Linked DNA regions of Oryzias latipes. The protein of the gene in region 3 purifies or fractionates together with the protein of the main gene of each other region. This does not show direct contact. Links are inferred from orthologs where the notes say so. Each region holds a gene or a part of one and is shown on either strand. Other genes may lie near its edges.

The links. Proteins that work in one complex are often made in the same cells at the same time.
Region 1: the proteins of histone H2A.Z (region 3) and mier1 purify together in Homo sapiens (affinity purification with mass spectrometry; 3 studies listed by BioGRID and IntAct, with this or other methods). This does not show direct contact. The link is inferred for Oryzias latipes from reciprocal best matches to the Homo sapiens genes H2AZ1 and MIER1.
Region 2: the proteins of histone H2A.Z (region 3) and actr6 purify together in Homo sapiens (affinity purification with mass spectrometry; 4 studies listed by BioGRID and IntAct, with this or other methods). This does not show direct contact. The link is inferred for Oryzias latipes from reciprocal best matches to the Homo sapiens genes H2AZ1 and ACTR6.
Region 4: the proteins of histone H2A.Z (region 3) and acidic leucine-rich nuclear phosphoprotein 32 family member E purify together in Homo sapiens (affinity purification with mass spectrometry; 4 studies listed by BioGRID and IntAct, with this or other methods). This does not show direct contact. The link is inferred for Oryzias latipes from reciprocal best matches to the Homo sapiens genes H2AZ1 and ANP32E.

The regions. Positions count from the first base shown.
Region 1 is NC_019875.2:16,593,188-16,597,278, forward strand, and holds the start of mier1 (mesoderm induction early response protein 1), read left to right. Parts: upstream 1-1,290; 5' UTR 1,291-1,320; coding exon 1,321-1,329; intron 1,330-1,365; exon of another isoform or gene 1,366-1,493; intron 1,494-2,428; coding exon 2,429-2,462; intron 2,463-2,714; coding exon 2,715-2,863; intron 2,864-3,650; coding exon 3,651-3,845; intron 3,846-4,091. UniProt on the Homo sapiens protein: Transcriptional repressor regulating the expression of a number of genes including SP1 target genes. Probably functions through recruitment of HDAC1 a histone deacetylase involved in chromatin silencing.
Region 2 is NC_019864.2:26,969,195-26,973,274, forward strand, and holds the start of actr6 (actin-related protein 6), read left to right. Parts: upstream 1-1,279; 5' UTR 1,280-1,408; coding exon 1,409-1,476; intron 1,477-2,382; coding exon 2,383-2,500; intron 2,501-2,570; coding exon 2,571-2,639; intron 2,640-2,722; coding exon 2,723-2,846; intron 2,847-3,289; coding exon 3,290-3,425; intron 3,426-3,494; coding exon 3,495-3,551; intron 3,552-3,622; coding exon 3,623-3,721; intron 3,722-3,841; coding exon 3,842-3,920; intron 3,921-4,080. UniProt on the Homo sapiens protein: Required for formation and/or maintenance of proper nucleolar structure and function. Plays a dual role in the regulation of ribosomal DNA (rDNA) transcription.
Region 3 is NC_019876.2:29,622,108-29,626,057, forward strand, and holds histone H2A.Z, read right to left. Parts: upstream 2,803-3,950; 5' UTR 2,279-2,802; coding exon 2,276-2,278; intron 2,044-2,275; coding exon 1,966-2,043; intron 1,855-1,965; coding exon 1,741-1,854; intron 974-1,740; coding exon 844-973; intron 768-843; coding exon 706-767; 3' UTR 171-705; downstream 1-170. UniProt on the Homo sapiens protein: Variant histone H2A which replaces conventional H2A in a subset of nucleosomes. Nucleosomes wrap and compact DNA into chromatin, limiting DNA accessibility to the cellular machineries which require DNA as a template.
Region 4 is NC_019874.2:32,438,061-32,442,281, reverse strand, and holds the start of acidic leucine-rich nuclear phosphoprotein 32 family member E, read right to left. Parts: upstream 2,802-4,221; 5' UTR 2,704-2,801; coding exon 2,650-2,703; intron 1,359-2,649; coding exon 1,209-1,358; intron 1,025-1,208; coding exon 902-1,024; intron 834-901; coding exon 686-833; intron 531-685; coding exon 412-530; intron 327-411; coding exon 260-326; intron 1-259. UniProt on the Homo sapiens protein: Histone chaperone that specifically mediates the genome-wide removal of histone H2A.Z/H2AZ1 from the nucleosome: removes H2A.Z/H2AZ1 from its normal sites of deposition, especially from enhancer and insulator regions.

The DNA.
Region 1 (4,091 bases), on a different chromosome or scaffold from region 3:
AGGCTAACCATGATGTAAAAATATCACAAACAAGAGAGAGGAGATTCCTTAGCTTCAGCCACTCTTTTGGAAAAGCAATGCCAAGTCCAGAATATCATGTCATTTTCTGTTGGATTCTTTTTCTATCATGATAAAAACAGAAGTTATAGTAACAGGAATGTGTGCATGTTGTGAGAGACATGTTTCATTTGGAATTAAATTATTGAAAATGATATTTTGTTTATTAAGACAAATGTTTTTCACAGTTGCAAGAGACAGCAAAAATATGTTTTGGTATTTTAAAAAACTACTTTCAAGCATTTTTTCCCCCTTAGTTTTTGTAGATTTGGTTTCAGGAAAATTAAATGTACGTGCAAATGCAAGATTTGGGGATTTTGATTGGGGTGCATTTAAAATTTGATGGCAGGGATGTAAAACGTCCTCCAATTCTGGAATGACCTGTGTGTTTACACACACAAAATACAAAAGACTGAATCAAGTTTGATTCATAAGGTTACCAACTTGACTTTGTATCAAATGCATAATAAAGGAAACCAATAGCCATTAAAACAATTTCACAACAACTTAAACATTCTGGTATTAACTAATGTAAAACTCTAGTGTTGGCCATGTTTCTATTGCTGTGCTTGAGTCTAAACTTTTGATTTTATATATTTAAATATAAAACTCAAAATCACATTTTGTCATTATTGTTTATTATTATCATCATTTTATATGTATTGATTGATTTATTGGGGTTTTAATTTTTCTTCATTTATTTATTTCAGGAAGTAATCCGGTAAAACTTTTTTCATATAATTTTTATTGAACTTCAAACAAACATATACACATAGATACAGATGAAAGAAATAAAAAAGAATAAATTACACATAAAATTATTTTAATAAAAACAATATAAAATAAAAATATAACATTAAAATTGTAGTTTACAATACTAGGGATTGTCATACAACATGTGATCTTCAATGAAAGATAATTGTATTGCGTTTTTTGTTATTTATTATGTTCAGAGATTTAAAATATAAACTGATCTCTTTTTGAAATTTATTGAGTAATGGGTTTGGTTTTTGAAAATCTGCTCTTATGAATGAAAAATTTCCCAGATATTAATAAAGTATTGAATGTCAAATCAAATAGATCATCACCAGAAACTACTCCAAATAATATGATGTGCTTTTGTAATTGAATAAAAATAGGAATAGGAAGTAATCCGCTTCATTTGAGCCGCATTGCTTTATGACTGTTGATACCGCAGGTAGGCGGAGCTTCACATCCGGGTGCTGAAGCTGACCCCTGACGTGACCCTGCAGGATTACAAACATGGCGGAGGTAAGAAAGTCTTATACATTTTCACTAAAATTATTTTCTTCTTGTGGGCGGCTGGTTCAGCCAGATTTACTCACACTCCCCTGCTGTAGCTTTTGAACACGACACGGAACGTCAGCGTTTTGTCTCGCTGGACGGGCGCCATTTTTTGGATCCAGACATGTTTGGTAAACTTTGAGCTTAGCTAACGTTAGCTGCGGCGTTAGCGACTATGTTCCGCGGTTTTTGTTTAAAAATAAATTATCAACAAAGGATTTCGTTTTTTCATAAACATAATTCTAAAAGTTTTTTTAAATAACTGTAATTTACGCGTTTTCTTTTCTTTTTCACCTGAAATCTATAAATAGCGAGCTTAAATTAGGAATGCTTTAGCAAAAAAACGAGTAAAGATTATTTAGCTTGCAAAAATTGTAATTTCAATTAGTATGAATAAAGTTTGTCAGCGCTTATTTCTAGAATATTCCTTATAGTTAAAGATGATGCATTTTTAAATTTTGGAATTTATTATAAATTTATATTTACTTATTTATCATATTTTGTCGGAAAAAGACGTGAAATTTATCGTTTTTTTCTTTTTTGTTGTTTCTGAGGTGTTGTAGGAATTTAATTGTACATTTATATTTTCTTATGCCACTTATATTAAACAAAACCCCGCCACACGAACCTGATTATGTAAAGCTGTTCAGCAGCGAACGGTTTCAGTTTCACATCCCATGAATTATTCATTTTATGCCTGTTTTTTTTTTAACCTTTAATACTTACATTTGAGATTTTTTGGTTTTTAAGATTTTGAGAGAGAGAGAGAGAGAGATTTATTTCGGTAATGTACAAACACAATCCTAAAACGTCAACATAAATGTTGAAGAAAATTTTACCTAAAGCAAATAATCCTCCTAATTTTTTGTTTTTTATTCCCACTTGTTACATGTTTGGCTCTTGTTTTGTTGTCATGTATTTTTTTATTCATGTTGTGTGTATTTCTGTCTTGTATTGTCTCATTCAGTACATCTTTGTGTTATGATGCCTGGATGTGTTCTGTAATGGTTTCATCTGTATTGAACTTTTTTATTTGACTAACTTTTCTTCCTTTTTTTCTCTCTAGCCTTCGCTGGGGAACTCGAGCCCAGGTACACATGGTACTAAATGCTTACACATAATTTGTAGAGGAATTTGTTTAAAAAAATAAAAAGTAAAAGCTGGTTTCCCCATCTTTGTTCTTATTTTAATGGTCTCTAAGGCATACATACATTCTGGGCTGTTTTGTTAATATTTAGGGTTACACAATATTTTGTTATGTCAAATTTCTAAAATTGGTATTATATATTGATAAATGACTTTTTGGTTCAAAAATGCTCCTTTGTTTCCTTTTTTTACTTGCACTTTCCAAGGAGGTTCAGCAGGTTCTGATGACCATGATTTTGACCCCACCGCTGAGATGCTGGTGCATGACTTTGATGATGAACGCACACTGGAGGAGGAAGAAAGGCTGGAGGCGACAGACGACACCAATGTTAATGAGATTGAAGACCTTGCACGGGTTTGTTTTATTTTAAATTGTAAGACCTTTTGCTAAATGTAATGTTATATTTCTGGTGGTATTTATTATAGTTATGAAAACCCTGTTTGTTTGTGTGTTTTTAACCTGATTTTTAAAATTTGTCTTTAATCTAGTGTGATATTTTTAATTGAAATAGTTACTTTTAACTTGTAACTAATAATGGGAATGATATATTATTCATGGATCTGATATATTTTTACATAAACGAACACATTTTCATTTCCCATCATTGTAATGCTGCGTTAACTCCAAACACGATTTGCGTCGGCCGCCTATGTTTGGAAGCGTGGCTTGTGGGAGGAGCTACCACCAAATGTTTTTGGCCTGATTGCTACAGGGAGCGGTGTCTGTGTGCATCTCATTTACGATGCATGGAAGACCCCACTTTGTCAAAGTTCAGAGATTTGAACTCTGGACGCAACACTCAAATGGCGCTGCTGCCGGACCGACGTGCCGCGCCCGATGCCCAAATCGCGCCACAGGGCCTCTGACAGCATTTGAATATTGATTTAACCTTGAAACTGGACGTCTTTATCACACCAATAACGTTTTTCCTCCTGGTCACAACCTTTAGGCTAATTTTAAAATTGAAAAAGTTCAATCTCTCCTAAAGAAAGATAGACAAACAACAAACTTGTTTTTTTCTATAAACTGAGGATTTAATAGATTCACATTGTGTCAGAGGGCAACTTTCATCACCATTCAATGTCTTACTGTGAATCAGTAATAATAGGAAGTGAACTAAACTCAGCTTTATTTTTAATAGGAAGGTGAGATGCCCATACATGAGCTGCTGAGCCTTTATGGCTATGGGGGTAGATCACCAGCAGAGGAGGAAGAGGAGGAGGAGGAAGAGGAGGAGGAAGAACCTGAGGATGAGGACGACGAGGAAGAGGACGAAGAGGAGGATCTTGATAACGATGAAAGCAGCAGAAGCACTGGGGAGCTGAAAAGAACTGAGGTAGTTTTTAGCTGTGGTCTCACTGGTTTGCGGATTTTTTTCAATGCAATTTAGTATGTTTTTTAATTTTTTTTAACAGCAGGTTGTGTCCTGCGTCCTGATTGGCTGTAGGCCTTTGCCAATCAATATCTTCTGTGCCGTGGCTCTATAATCTGTTCAGTTTGCCAAATTTACAATTTTGATCGCGAGCAGATCTCTTTCATTCCAAAATACTGGACTTATTTTTCTTTGAAAGTTTAAACTTTG
Region 2 (4,080 bases), on a different chromosome or scaffold from region 3:
GGGTGCTTTTTAAAATTCATATGTTCAGACAGGTATGCTAGAGTAAACAGTGACACCGACATCATGTGTGCCCAATCAATCAGAAGATATAAGTGTAGAATTTGTTGAAAATTGTAAAGACCCCAAATTCCCACTTTTGGAATATGGAATGACGTCCAGCAGCAGGGTAATGGTACATACGCTTGTTCTCTCTCCAAATGTTTGGCCTCAGATACAGTCAATGTGTCTGTTTTTGGAGGAAGTCATCTTACACATTATTTATGTTGAAAAATAAAAATCGGTCTTTACCACAATAAGTCTGTTCAATAAACAAGGTCAAAGAAATTTAATTTACACTACTGGACAAATTTTATCCCGCAAAACATTATCTAAATTTAGAGTTGACTTAAACAACAGCTGTACTTTCTGACAGAAAAATCCTGAAACATGTTCTCATTTATTTTGGTCATGTGAATTTACTGACACATTCTGGAAAAAGAGCCACAAATTCATTACTGACTCTGTTTTTGCTGATTTTTAACTTTATTATAAAAACGTGATTTTTGGTTTTAAACAATTTAATCACAAAGATAGTGGTTCTTTCTTTTTTCTAACTGTGATTCTATTTCTGGAAAAATTTCAAAATCTCAAAGGTAAATTTTCTAATGAAGTACCTTAACTTTTCTTGCTTTTCTTACTGAAAATGGAACTCCAGCAATAAAATGTATTCAATAAAACTAATCTAGTTCCATTGTGGTTTTTTTTTCCTTTCTCTTTGTGGATTTTTTCTTTTGATATACTTTGATGCTAATTTTATAAAATGTTTTTGTTTTCAACAGAAGCTAAAAACGTAAATAATAATAATAACTTCTATTTTGGAGTTGTGTTATGTTCTTACATTGTACTTTTATAGTGTTATATTTTTGTACTGTATTCTTCCAGCATTCAATAAAAAAAAATTAAAAATAAAAAAATAAAAAAAAGATGAGAAAAAAGGCAGATTGTTTGCTAAGTTTGTCAAATCTTCCTATTTGAAGAGAGTCCTAATTTTTTTTAATCATGTTTTTCTTTAATTACTTTATATAGAGAGAGGCGGGGACATGTTAATAGCGTATTTAGTTAGTTTGACAAACGAAAAATTCATTTATGTTAAAATATCTAAAAAGTGGAACTGTGACAGGAATGTGTTTCTGCACGAGCCACTTTTTCAGGAGGTACTTTGGCTTGTTCTTTGATTGGCTGAAAGAAAAAGATTACGCAGATGTGATTGGCTTTCCATCGTCCGGAAGAAAGATGAAAGACTGAATGTGATTGGCTAGAAGGAACAATTCTGAATGGTGGCTGATTTAGCCCGATCAGTTTACAATGTGCTTTTTGTGTAGTTACGACTTAAAAAACTAAATAGTTATTTAAATGTTTTTCTTCTAAAATGGCTACCTTAGTTTTGGATAATGGCGCGTACACGGCGAAGATCGGTTACAGTCTGGAGAAAGTCAGGTGAGGTTACTTTGTTTTAGCAAGGCTAACTTCACAGATGACGATGATGCTTTCAATCAATATTGCGTTTTTTTTTATTTCCCGAAAGATTAAAACCTCATTCCACTGGAAAACGTTTGTTTGTTGCACTGTGACATAAAGTCATGGGACTGAGTGTAGGGGGGTAATAGCAGTAAGCTATAAACGTTACAACAGAGATTTACCCTCGAACGAATCGAATGCGGCAAAATTGCTTTTCTTGTCAGGCAAACACATTATGACTTTTACTTTGGTAAATCAAAGAACAATTTTGCAAAAATGGACATAGGAAAACAAAAGGTTTTTTTTTCCAAGTTCTTTTTGGTACTCAAACCTTAGACTTAGAATACTCCAAATATTTTGTCTGTTACAGGTACTATTAGGTTACAGGTTCCCCTGTTTCTATTATTGGCAACAGTTTTTGTTTGTTTATGCATTTGTGATCTGAGTTTGTGCTAATCTGGTAGCAGAATCTTCAGATCCTAAGATACTTTTATTGTTCGCAAACAAAAGTATTGTGAGGATGTTGTGAAAATATTCTATGTAATAAAAAAAATCTAGCTTTGCATGTGAACACAAACTTAACTTTGTTAGGAAGGGAAACTGTCAATATTTGTGTCGTGATGTTTAGTCTCCGTTATGTTTTTGTCTACTGAATTTCATCTACAAAAGTCTTTGTTTTCTCCATTCTTCTGATTGAACCAGTAGAAGATTTAGTGACACTTTTTTACCCTTTTTCTTCAGATGTGGGAAGTTTATTTAGGTTTTTTTTCACGTTTTTATGCCAGATCTCTAGCATTTGTGTGGGTTGAAGATCTTACTGGATGTGACGTTTTTACATTTTGTTTTTTCCAATTTAACTTGGTTTCTGTCTTTATTTTTCTTCAGCGTGATTCCCAACTGTCAGTTTCGCTCAAAGAATTCCCGGCTAAAAACGTTCACGGCGAATCAGCTGGATGAGATCAAAGATCCGTCGGGTCTCTTTTACATCCTCCCCTTTCAGAAGGTGAGGTTGCCTCTGCAGGTCCAGTGCAGGTTGGGTAACAGTTTCTTACTAGGTGCTCATGTCTGTGCAGGGTTACCTGGTCAACTGGGATGTTCAGAGGAAGGTGTGGGATCACCTTTTTGGAAAGGAGATGTTTAAGGTGCACTTGTCCGTTTTTGTATGTTAGTCATGCATGTAGTTAAGTAGGCTCTTCCAGCTGCTGACTATGAGTTCCTTGTGTAGGTTGACTTTGCAGACACCAGCATCATCATCACAGAGCCATACTTCAACTTCACCTCCATCCAGGAGTCCATGAATGAGATCCTCTTTGAAGAATACCAGTTTCAGTCTGCTCTTCGAATCAATGGTGAGTTCATCAAATGACCAGAATATCAAACAAGCGCATTTAAAAAGAGTTTATAGGAATATGTTTATCTCAAAGAGTCATTTTTATGTAGGAAAAATAGGTTTTGACAGGGAATTTAAAAAACGTTAAGAAGAGAGCATTTTAAAAGTTTGAGCAAAGTTTTAACACAGGTTTTGAAGAATCACGCAGATAAATACTAAAAGATCATTAAGTAAGAACAAGCATCCTCTTTGACTTACAAAAAAAGATTTCCTCCTGGTTTCAAAATAAAAGCAGACATTTTCATTCTGTGGTCCAAAAACGACCACAGTGGCTGCAATGATGTCTCACATGAATTGTGCTGTTAACTCGATGCTCAGACAAAATCAAGGTTAGAATATGGAGTCGTTTTGCTCTAATGAAAGAACAGAGATTTGACATTTACTGCCTTTGTTCTCCTCCAGGTGGCTCTCTGAGCGCTCATCACTGCTTCCACTCCAAACCGTCTGAGCTCTGCTGCCTGGTGGTGGACTCTGGGTTCTCCTTCACACACATCGCCCCCTACTGCCGCAGCAAGAAACTGAATCATGGCATCCGCAGGTAAGACTGTGCTGTCTTATGGCCCTTATGACCGTGAGAATACCAACTGTAAACACTTTTGTGTTTCAGAATCAATGTTGGGGGAAAACTGCTCACCAATCACTTAAAAGAAATCATCTCCTATCGGTGGGTTTGTGTCTGCAGCTTTACGTTTATCAAATAAGTTACTGAATAATTCTTTGCAACGACTTCTCCAGCCAGCTGCACGTGATGGATGAAACTCATGTGATCAACCAGGTGAAGGAGGACGTCTGCTACGTCTCACAGCAGTTTTACAAAGACATGGAGATCGCGCAGTAAGACAGATGCACGTCTATTGTTGCTGGTCCACCTGTGTGATGTTAAACGTGTCTCAGAGACATTCACCAGACTTTTTAAAGAAAAGGAGAACCCTTTCACATTTACTGTGTTTGCAGACTGAGAGGTGAGGACAACGATTTGATGAGAGACTATGTTCTTCCTGACTTCAGCGCCATCAAAAAAGGCTTTTGCAAGGTGAGATGCTCTCATCTCCTCTCCTTTGTGACATAACGGGCATTCAAAATGAAAAATAACCCAAAAGAATATCCATTATATTAATATTTAAACTGTTGCATTGGTTTTCTCTGGGCACTCCGGCTTCCTCCCAGTCCAAAAACATGCTTCAGATGTTTAT
Region 3 (3,950 bases):
AGTTTAGATTAAACCAGCTGATAGACTTCACAGTACTCTGCAAAAGACTCGTCTTTGAAACAGCTCAACTTCAGTTTAATAGGAAATGTTTTTCTGCTAGAGGTTAAAGGTCATTTCAGAGCGATAGCATCCATCACACCAGACCTGCAATGACTGAAAAACCACAGAAATCAAAGCCAAAAACTGCTTTATAGAAAACGTGGGAAAAGAAGCATGAAGAAGCATCGTCAGGAATTAAAACAAAGAGACCGTCTCCACATAAAATTTAATACAGAAAAGGACGCAGCAGGGAGCCTTGACCACGCCTGTGCAGCGGGAACTCCAGCATAAACGTGTGCTGCCACTCATGCATCAGTTCACACGCATCTTCAAATGTTTGGGGTCTTTCCCACATGCACGCCTCAGCCGCCGATGGTCGACCTCCTGACCCCTCGTCCTGCAGCCAGGTTAGAAAACTGAAAGCTGCTTCATTAAAACACCACTGAACATGGAAACGCCACGTTAGCGAGTGGAACACAGACGCTTGCAACACCAGGAAAGGCCAAAGGGACAAAGAGCTTCTCTGAAGCCACTTTAAAAAAAAAATACCCCGGGTGAGTAGACACAAATTCAACCATAAAAATCGTGAAAAGTTTTCTAATCTACGACATTGAACACTGGATGCTGACGTCCTCCTGAGATGGCACAATGTTCAGAGCACTTGGGTTATACCGTCTTCTGCTGGCCCTTCTTCCCGATCAGGGACTTGTGGATGTGCGGGATCACACCTGAAAGACAGGACACCTGTTCAGACCGGGGCGGGGCTTAGTCAGCCCGGGACGTCCAGGTGAAGCCCCCACTCACCTCCGCCGGCAATGGTGGCCTTAATGAGAGAATCCAGCTCCTCGTCTCCTCTGATGGCGAGCTGCAAGTGGCGTGGAGTGATTCTCTTCACCTTCAGGTCCTTTGATGCATTTCCTGCCAGCTCCAGGACCTGTGGAAAGCCAAAACCTCAGAAGGAGCAGAGGGGAGCCGGCCGGCAGGAGGCGCAGGTACGTTTCCTCCAAACCAGTGATCAGACCTGTGCGCTCGGCTGCAGCGTCCACTCTCGTTGAATAAACAGTTAGATCGGTAGGTAACATAAAGTATAAAAGTCGATAAACTCGTCTTTGATCTGCTTCTCACATCTTTTCGATCCTTGCAGTATAACGTAGGGAATTCTCCGGATGAATATCTTGGTTCTCAAAATCCCTCTTCAACTTTCTACAGTAAGTTAGTTGGTGTCTAATTTTGAAACTAGTCGATTTTTGCTGTTTTAATAAAAGAAGTTAGTAGGTACTGTTTTTTCGTTTGCAAGCAGTGCATGCTGGGACATGAGGTCATGTGACCGGTTTGGAGTACGCTGATTGGCTGCAGCCACTGTCCACCAACAAAGGATCAGATGTAGCTTAGTGAAGTACTTTTAGAATGTCGTACTTTTGATTAAATAACAGTTTCATTGTCGTTTCCTGTAGTTCGTTTGAATATCTTAGCAATGATGCCTCTTTCTTGGATTTTAAGGATAAAGTTATCACACTAAGAACTCTCATCTGTGATTCGGGTCACAAAACTTTTGCCTTTTCCCTTATATTTCAGGAATCAAATTCCGCCCTTCACTTCAAACGCCGTATCTTTCTTATTTTGACCCATCTGGATGATCCTTATACATTTGGAAAACTCTCTTTTAGATGACTTTTCGCCACATGCTGCAGCCGGTCTTACCTCTGCGGTCAGGTACTCCAGGATGGCCGCGCTGTACACGGCGGCGGTGGCCCCCACTCTGCCGTGGCTCGTGGTTCGAGACTTGAGATGTCTGTGGATGCGACCCACCGGGAACTACAGCGAGGAGGGATACAAGCGTTCACCGACAGGCGGAGCGCCCCGACCCGCGCCAGTACGGCCGGCCGCGGCGGGGCCAGCGGGAATGAATGAGCGGCGCTAACTGACCTGGAGTCCCGCTCTCTGCGAGCGCGAAATCGCCTTGGTCTTCGTCTTCCCGGAGTCCTTCCCAGCCTTACCGCCAGCCTGGAGAACACACAACCACAGAGTCGATCCACGGCCGGTAACGGCGCTCGGTGATCCAGATCGTTTATTTTACGACTCCGCGGGAAAAACTTGGTGGTTAGCATGCTAAGCTAACGCTAGCTTGTACCACATTTAGGCGCCACAGACGTTGATGCTCGGGCCCGCGCGGACTACCGGACAGAGGGGTTTCGGTCCGGTTATGTCGGTCGTTAAACGGTCGGGAATTACTTACCATGATGCCAAAGTATCACTTGGATTCAAAAGTACGCGCTGAAATCGGTATAGCTGCGTCCGGTGATGGCCTTAGAAAACAGCCGTTAGCCAGCGGGGCTTCTTCTTCTGCTGCTTTTTCTTCTTCTTCTTGTAGTTTAAATGGCGGGAGGCACCAACGACAAGGGCAGTACCGCCACCTGCTGTATTGGAGGATGGATCGTAGTTGGGGAATATCTAACCAAAAAACAAACTATATTCTCCTCAATAATCTGGTTCTGCTCATAAAAACCTATAATGCACCACTTAAATTCTCCTCCCCTCCCAAAAGCTTCTTTAAAACTCAGCCGTTCACCTCTATGAACTCTATTCTCCAGCTGTCGTCTTTCTTCCCCATACAGTTCACAATGACACAGAACAATCTCCACTGATTCTTCCCCTGTGTTATTCTTCTGAGGAGAATAACACCTCTATTTTTACCTGTAGATGTTTTCTTTTGTTTATTAAACTCCTTATACTGTAACAGATAAAAAGTTGGCTATAAATAAAATAAAATATATTTTGAAAACCTGCAATAATAAGCTGTTCCTGATTATTGTCATCATTGTTGTTGTTGTGTTGGTATTATTATTACTTTGTATAATTATTATTATTATTAATTCATCTTCTTCACTGTTTATTCCCTTTTGGGGTCATGGGGTTGCTGGAGCCTATCCCAGCCACTTGGGCTAAGGCAAGGGATGCCCTGGACAGGTCGCCAGTCTGTCCCAGGGTAGAATATCCTCAATCACACACCCATTCACTCTCACACCTATGGAAAATTTAGAGTTGCCAATCAACCTTTGAAGCATGTTTTGGACGGTGGGAGGAAACTGGAGATCCTGGAGAAAACCCACGCATGCACGGGGAGAAAATGCAAACTCCACACAGAAAGGTCCCCCATTGATGTTGTGTTTTTCATGTCACCCAGCTGGGACTTGAACTGGAGGCCTTCTTGCTGTGAGGCAAGAGCGCTAACCACTGCGCCACCGTGCAGCCCCTATTATTATTATTATTTATTTTAATTATTATTATGTCACACAGTTTTGCTGAAGTCTTTCAATTTAACATTGTGAAGTGTAATATATTGTGCCATCTTAGTTGACCAAAGGGGTTACAAATCTCCTCATTACAGTTTTACAACATGGAGACCCCCAAACAGCATTTTGCCTGGGCCCCCACAAAAGCTAGAAACGGGCCTGATAAAAACACAGACAGTCTCCAAAAATACAAAATGAACAAACGTGCAAAACTGCTCAGCAGTGTTGTGGATGTCATGTTGACCTGTGGCCACCAGAGGGCAGTCAGGGGTTCCACTCCACCCATCTGTCCTAGCTTCATGTGTCAGTTGTAAAGCTGCCTGTTCACTTTTGAATAAACATCTTGGTTTTAAAAAAGAAGCAGCGTCATTCCTCTGGAATTATCTCGCTAAAACCGTCATCTCTGCTGCTGTCAGTCATTCAGGCGGGTCAGTATGAAGGTCGCTGAGACCTTGGGACCTCAGCCAGTGTTTGAGCATCCGGAGTTTGTGATGGACCCCCACATTCACACCGGGTACTATCCTTCAGACCACAGTGCCCCCCAGCCAACAGCAGCTGTCCACTGCCTGCAGGGCGGGTGCTGGTCAGACGTACATCTGCGGGGTTTGAACCCTTAAT
Region 4 (4,221 bases), on a different chromosome or scaffold from region 3:
AAACAGCAGGAGATCTGAACCTTTTTCTGCAAACAGGTGTTAGCATGACGCAGCAGGAAGTGACGTGTCTGTAGTCCATCCTCCTTCATTTGTAGTTCAACAGAATGATGTCATCTCTGCAGAAAAGGCGGAGCCTCTTTCCTCCTCTGCTTTGACCTGTGGCGTCAGCCTACAGGTCCAGGAGAACCGGGTTCTCAACCAGACCCCCCCTCATCACTTCAGGAGGGTCTGTCCATGTGAGGGAGGAGAACAGACTCACCTCCATCCTCATCTTCATCCTCTTCGTCCTCTTCCTCCTCAACATAATCTCCATCATCGTCTTCGTCCTTCAACAGAAACAGGAAGCTGCTGACTGCGCTCAGTCACAAGGAGCCCCCCCCCTCCCCCTCCCCATCTGGATCAGTGGCACACCTGGATGCCGTCCTTCATCAGGTAGGAAAGCCCCACTTCCTCTTCTTCAGAGCCGTGCTCTTCATCATCTTCGTCCTCCTCATCATCATCTCCGGGAGGACCTGCCTCCTCCTCCTCATCTAGAAAAGAACCAGTGTGTTGACAGGAAACGGATCAGGTGAGTTCAGACGGAACCAAACAAGAACTTTAGGTTTGTCTTAGACCTTCATGATTATTCTGAAGAACCAGCAGAGCGGGTTCCTCGACCTTCAGACTGTGACGGATGGCGCCTCACCGTTGTCGGACGCCTCGTTGTCCTCCTGGTCGAACCCGTCCAGGTAGGTGAGCTGTGGCAGCAGCTGGAAGACGCGCTCCCTGTAGTCGTCCAGAGAGGACACGTCGCAGCCGTACAGGTCCAGACTCTTCAGGGCCTTCAGGCTCTGCTGCAGGTCACATGACATCGCCGTGAGCAGCGGACCTCCTGGGAGGACCAGAGGAAGGCGCCACTTACCAGCGGCTCCAGGCTGCTCAGCTCCTTCAGCTTGTTGCTGCTGAGGTTGAGGTGGGTCAGGCCAGGACACTTCTCCACCAGCGTGTTCAGCCCCCCACCGATGGAGTTCTCACTGACCTCCAGCTGAAACACAGCAGTCGGGTCTCAGTTCTGCTGTAAAAGGCGGGAAGGCTGAGCGGTTCAGACCAACCTGAACCTGGAACCATTTGGTTTGCATCATTCTGAGGTCAACGTCCTTCATTCAGTTTAGACGTTTGGGAGGAAGGTCAGACCTCCTGAGGCTGCGGTCATGACCACGTCTCCTCACCTTCTGCAGTTTGGGCAGCAGGGGCATCTTGGACAGCGAGCTGAGGCCCACGTTCACCATGCTGAGGACCTCCAGCTCCGTGAACTCCTCTGACAGACCTTCCACCTCGCCGTCGCTGGAGCGGCAGTTGTCCACCACCAGCTCCCCCACCTGGAAGCAGACGGCAGCTGAGCAGACCTGCAGCCAACACCCCACCTTCGGCGCCGCAGAGCGGCCGCTTCACTCTGAGGACAGGAGGCCTCGTCTACCAGCCGGGCTCTGGTCCAGAACCGGTCCTGGTGGATTTCACAATCCCCTTAGTGTCTGCTCCAGAGAGCTTCAGAGCCTAGACGTATGTGGAAACGCTCCACCAGGCGTGTTTGGAGTTTTAACGCCATGCCATCATGGTAGCCAATCAGATGTGCAGCACTTCCCCAGAGCTCCATCCACAGCGCCACAGCTGATTGGATGAATATTTATTCTTCCTTTTCATCCGCCCGCCGTCCGCAGTCACGTGACACCAGCAGTTTTACCACCATGACGCTTTCATACGTCACCATGATGGAAACCAGACGGCCTCGGCGTTCCCGCGCCCCCTGCAGGCCGTTAGCGAAACTGCAGACGTTTGATGACAGGCAACAGGTCTGGACCAGAACCGAGCTCTGGACCTTTGGAACAACTGCAGTGTTTAGGTCCATAGAGCCCAGATGTTTGTAGGGTTCTGTATGTGAACTCATGTTTACCACAATATAGAATATGTATAGTAAAGTAAGTCCCATAAATGAGTGGTACCTATAGAAGCTAATCTGTGTTGGTGCTCCCCATTCCGAACCTGACCTCCCATTTCGAACCTGACCTCTGCACGGCTTAAGAATGAAGGCAGACGGACCGAGGACCACCGGTACCGTCCATTCCCCGCGTCCTGGTCTCGGACCGTGGCTGAGGTTCAGCTCACGTCTGCCCGATATTCCGCCAGAAGGCTGTTTGAAATGGACCGAACCCACCCGGGTCCCCAACAGCCAGCCGTGCATCGAAAAAATCCAGCTCCGAGACTGGACTGCGCATGCGCATTGAAAGTGGTCCGAACAGACTCACCGAGCTGGAGCTTCAAGCTAAAACGGCGCCGAAGCATTTCAGCAGAACTGCGGTTCGTCAGGATCACCACTGTCATCGGAACCGCGATCATCCTACGGCGGGAAGTCGCCCCGCTGCACACAGTCAACGGAACCCGACCGAAACAGACCCAAACCGGCTCGCGGCTCTTTCTCCACATTAGCTAGCTAGCTGGAGCTGCCTCGAGGCTTCTCCACGGAACACAGGAAACCCGCACGTGGAGCGGGCGGGAAACAGAGCTCCGCTACTAGAGCCGCGCGGGTGTAGCTCGCGCTAAGACGACGGAACACGCGCGCGCGTCTTTACCGCTAACGCAGAAAACAGGAGCGGCTGCGGGATTCTCACGCACCTCGGTGGGACTTCGGTTTCGGAGCTCGAGGCTGATCCTCTTCTTCATCTCCATGATGAAGCAGGAGCACAGAAAGTAGCAAAACAAAAGAGATGGCGCGCACGCGCGGCTCAGTCCTCTGTCGCGAACACGCCTCCTCACGCATTTCAAAGGCTCCGGATCCACGTGGGATCTGATTGGTTCGGTCTGAAGCTCCGCCCCCACAGCGTACGACTGAATACTCTTGACCGCGATTGGTCTGAACGTCAGGACTGACCAATGAGAATGCGAAGATAGACCCTTTTTTAAAATGTTTAGGCTCCTCCCCTTTCTGTAGAAACAGGCTGATCTAAGAAACCAGAGGATCCCAAACACGAGATCAATCTGGGATTTCCTATTCTACAGAGCAGAACGTGAACTCATCAGGAGAACATCAATCACCTTTGAGGGGATTGCTGTCTTAAAACATCATGAATCGGACCGCCACCTGCTCCGGTTCTGGTTGGCTGGATAAACAGATCCAGTTCAGTTTCAGAACAGTCGTTTTATTCTGTTTTCTTAAAAAACAAACATGTACACCTGAAATCACAGCCAGAAATAAATAACAGCAAACTCAGGGTTTGGTTCTGGTCGGACCCGGCTGCTCTGAGCGAAGGCCAATCCAACCAGAGCAATGAGGAGAGACAGAAAACTTCAACACCATCAGTGCAGGTCCAACAGAACCGCAAATGCTCAGACCATCCAGAAAGATGTGAGAGGAGGAGTCATGACTCATGGGGAGGAGTCATAACTCATGGGGAGGAGTCACGAATAATGGGGAGGAGTCATGACTCATGGGGAGGAGTCATGACTCATGGGGAGGAGTCACGAATAATGGGGAGGAGTCATGACTCATGGGGAGGAGTCATAACTCATGGGGAGGAGTCACGACTAATGGGGAGGAGTCATGACTCATGGGGAGGAGTCATGACTCATGGGGAGGAGTCATGACTCATGGGGAGGAGTTAGATAAAAGGTGATCATCAAGAGAGCGTTGAGGGAGTTAAAAAGGAACTGAGCATGCTCAGTGGAGATCTTCTGGTTCCGAAATGACATCAATAAATAAACTGTAACAATTTAACAGTAAATTGTTGTAGTTCAACAGGAAGTGATGTCACTACATCATCTTCAGACTTCCTGTCTGGGTGGAGCTTCGGGACTCTTCATGCAGGTTCTGAGGAGGTGAGAAGGACAAACCGGTCTCATATTTACAGAATGGGGGCTCAGTCTGACCGCTCAGTCCACGATGGAGGCTCTGCGTGACCTGCAGGAAGGTCAGGGAGACCAGGAGAACTTCAGGGAGCTGGCAGAGAGCCCCCGCTTTGGGGTCTTCAGGCGGCTGGCAGGTGAGGAGTGGACTGCCTTCAGAGAACCTCTTTCATCTCTGATATGCAGAACAAAGTTCTGTTCAGCGGAAGCTTCAGGAACCAGAACTGTTCCCAGGTTTGAAGAAGAACGATGCTCCGGATGAGAACCTGGTCTGGAGAACCAGAAGATGGTTCTCAGGATGTAGAGTCCGTCTCTGAGCATCACATCCGGTCCAGGACCCCGTGT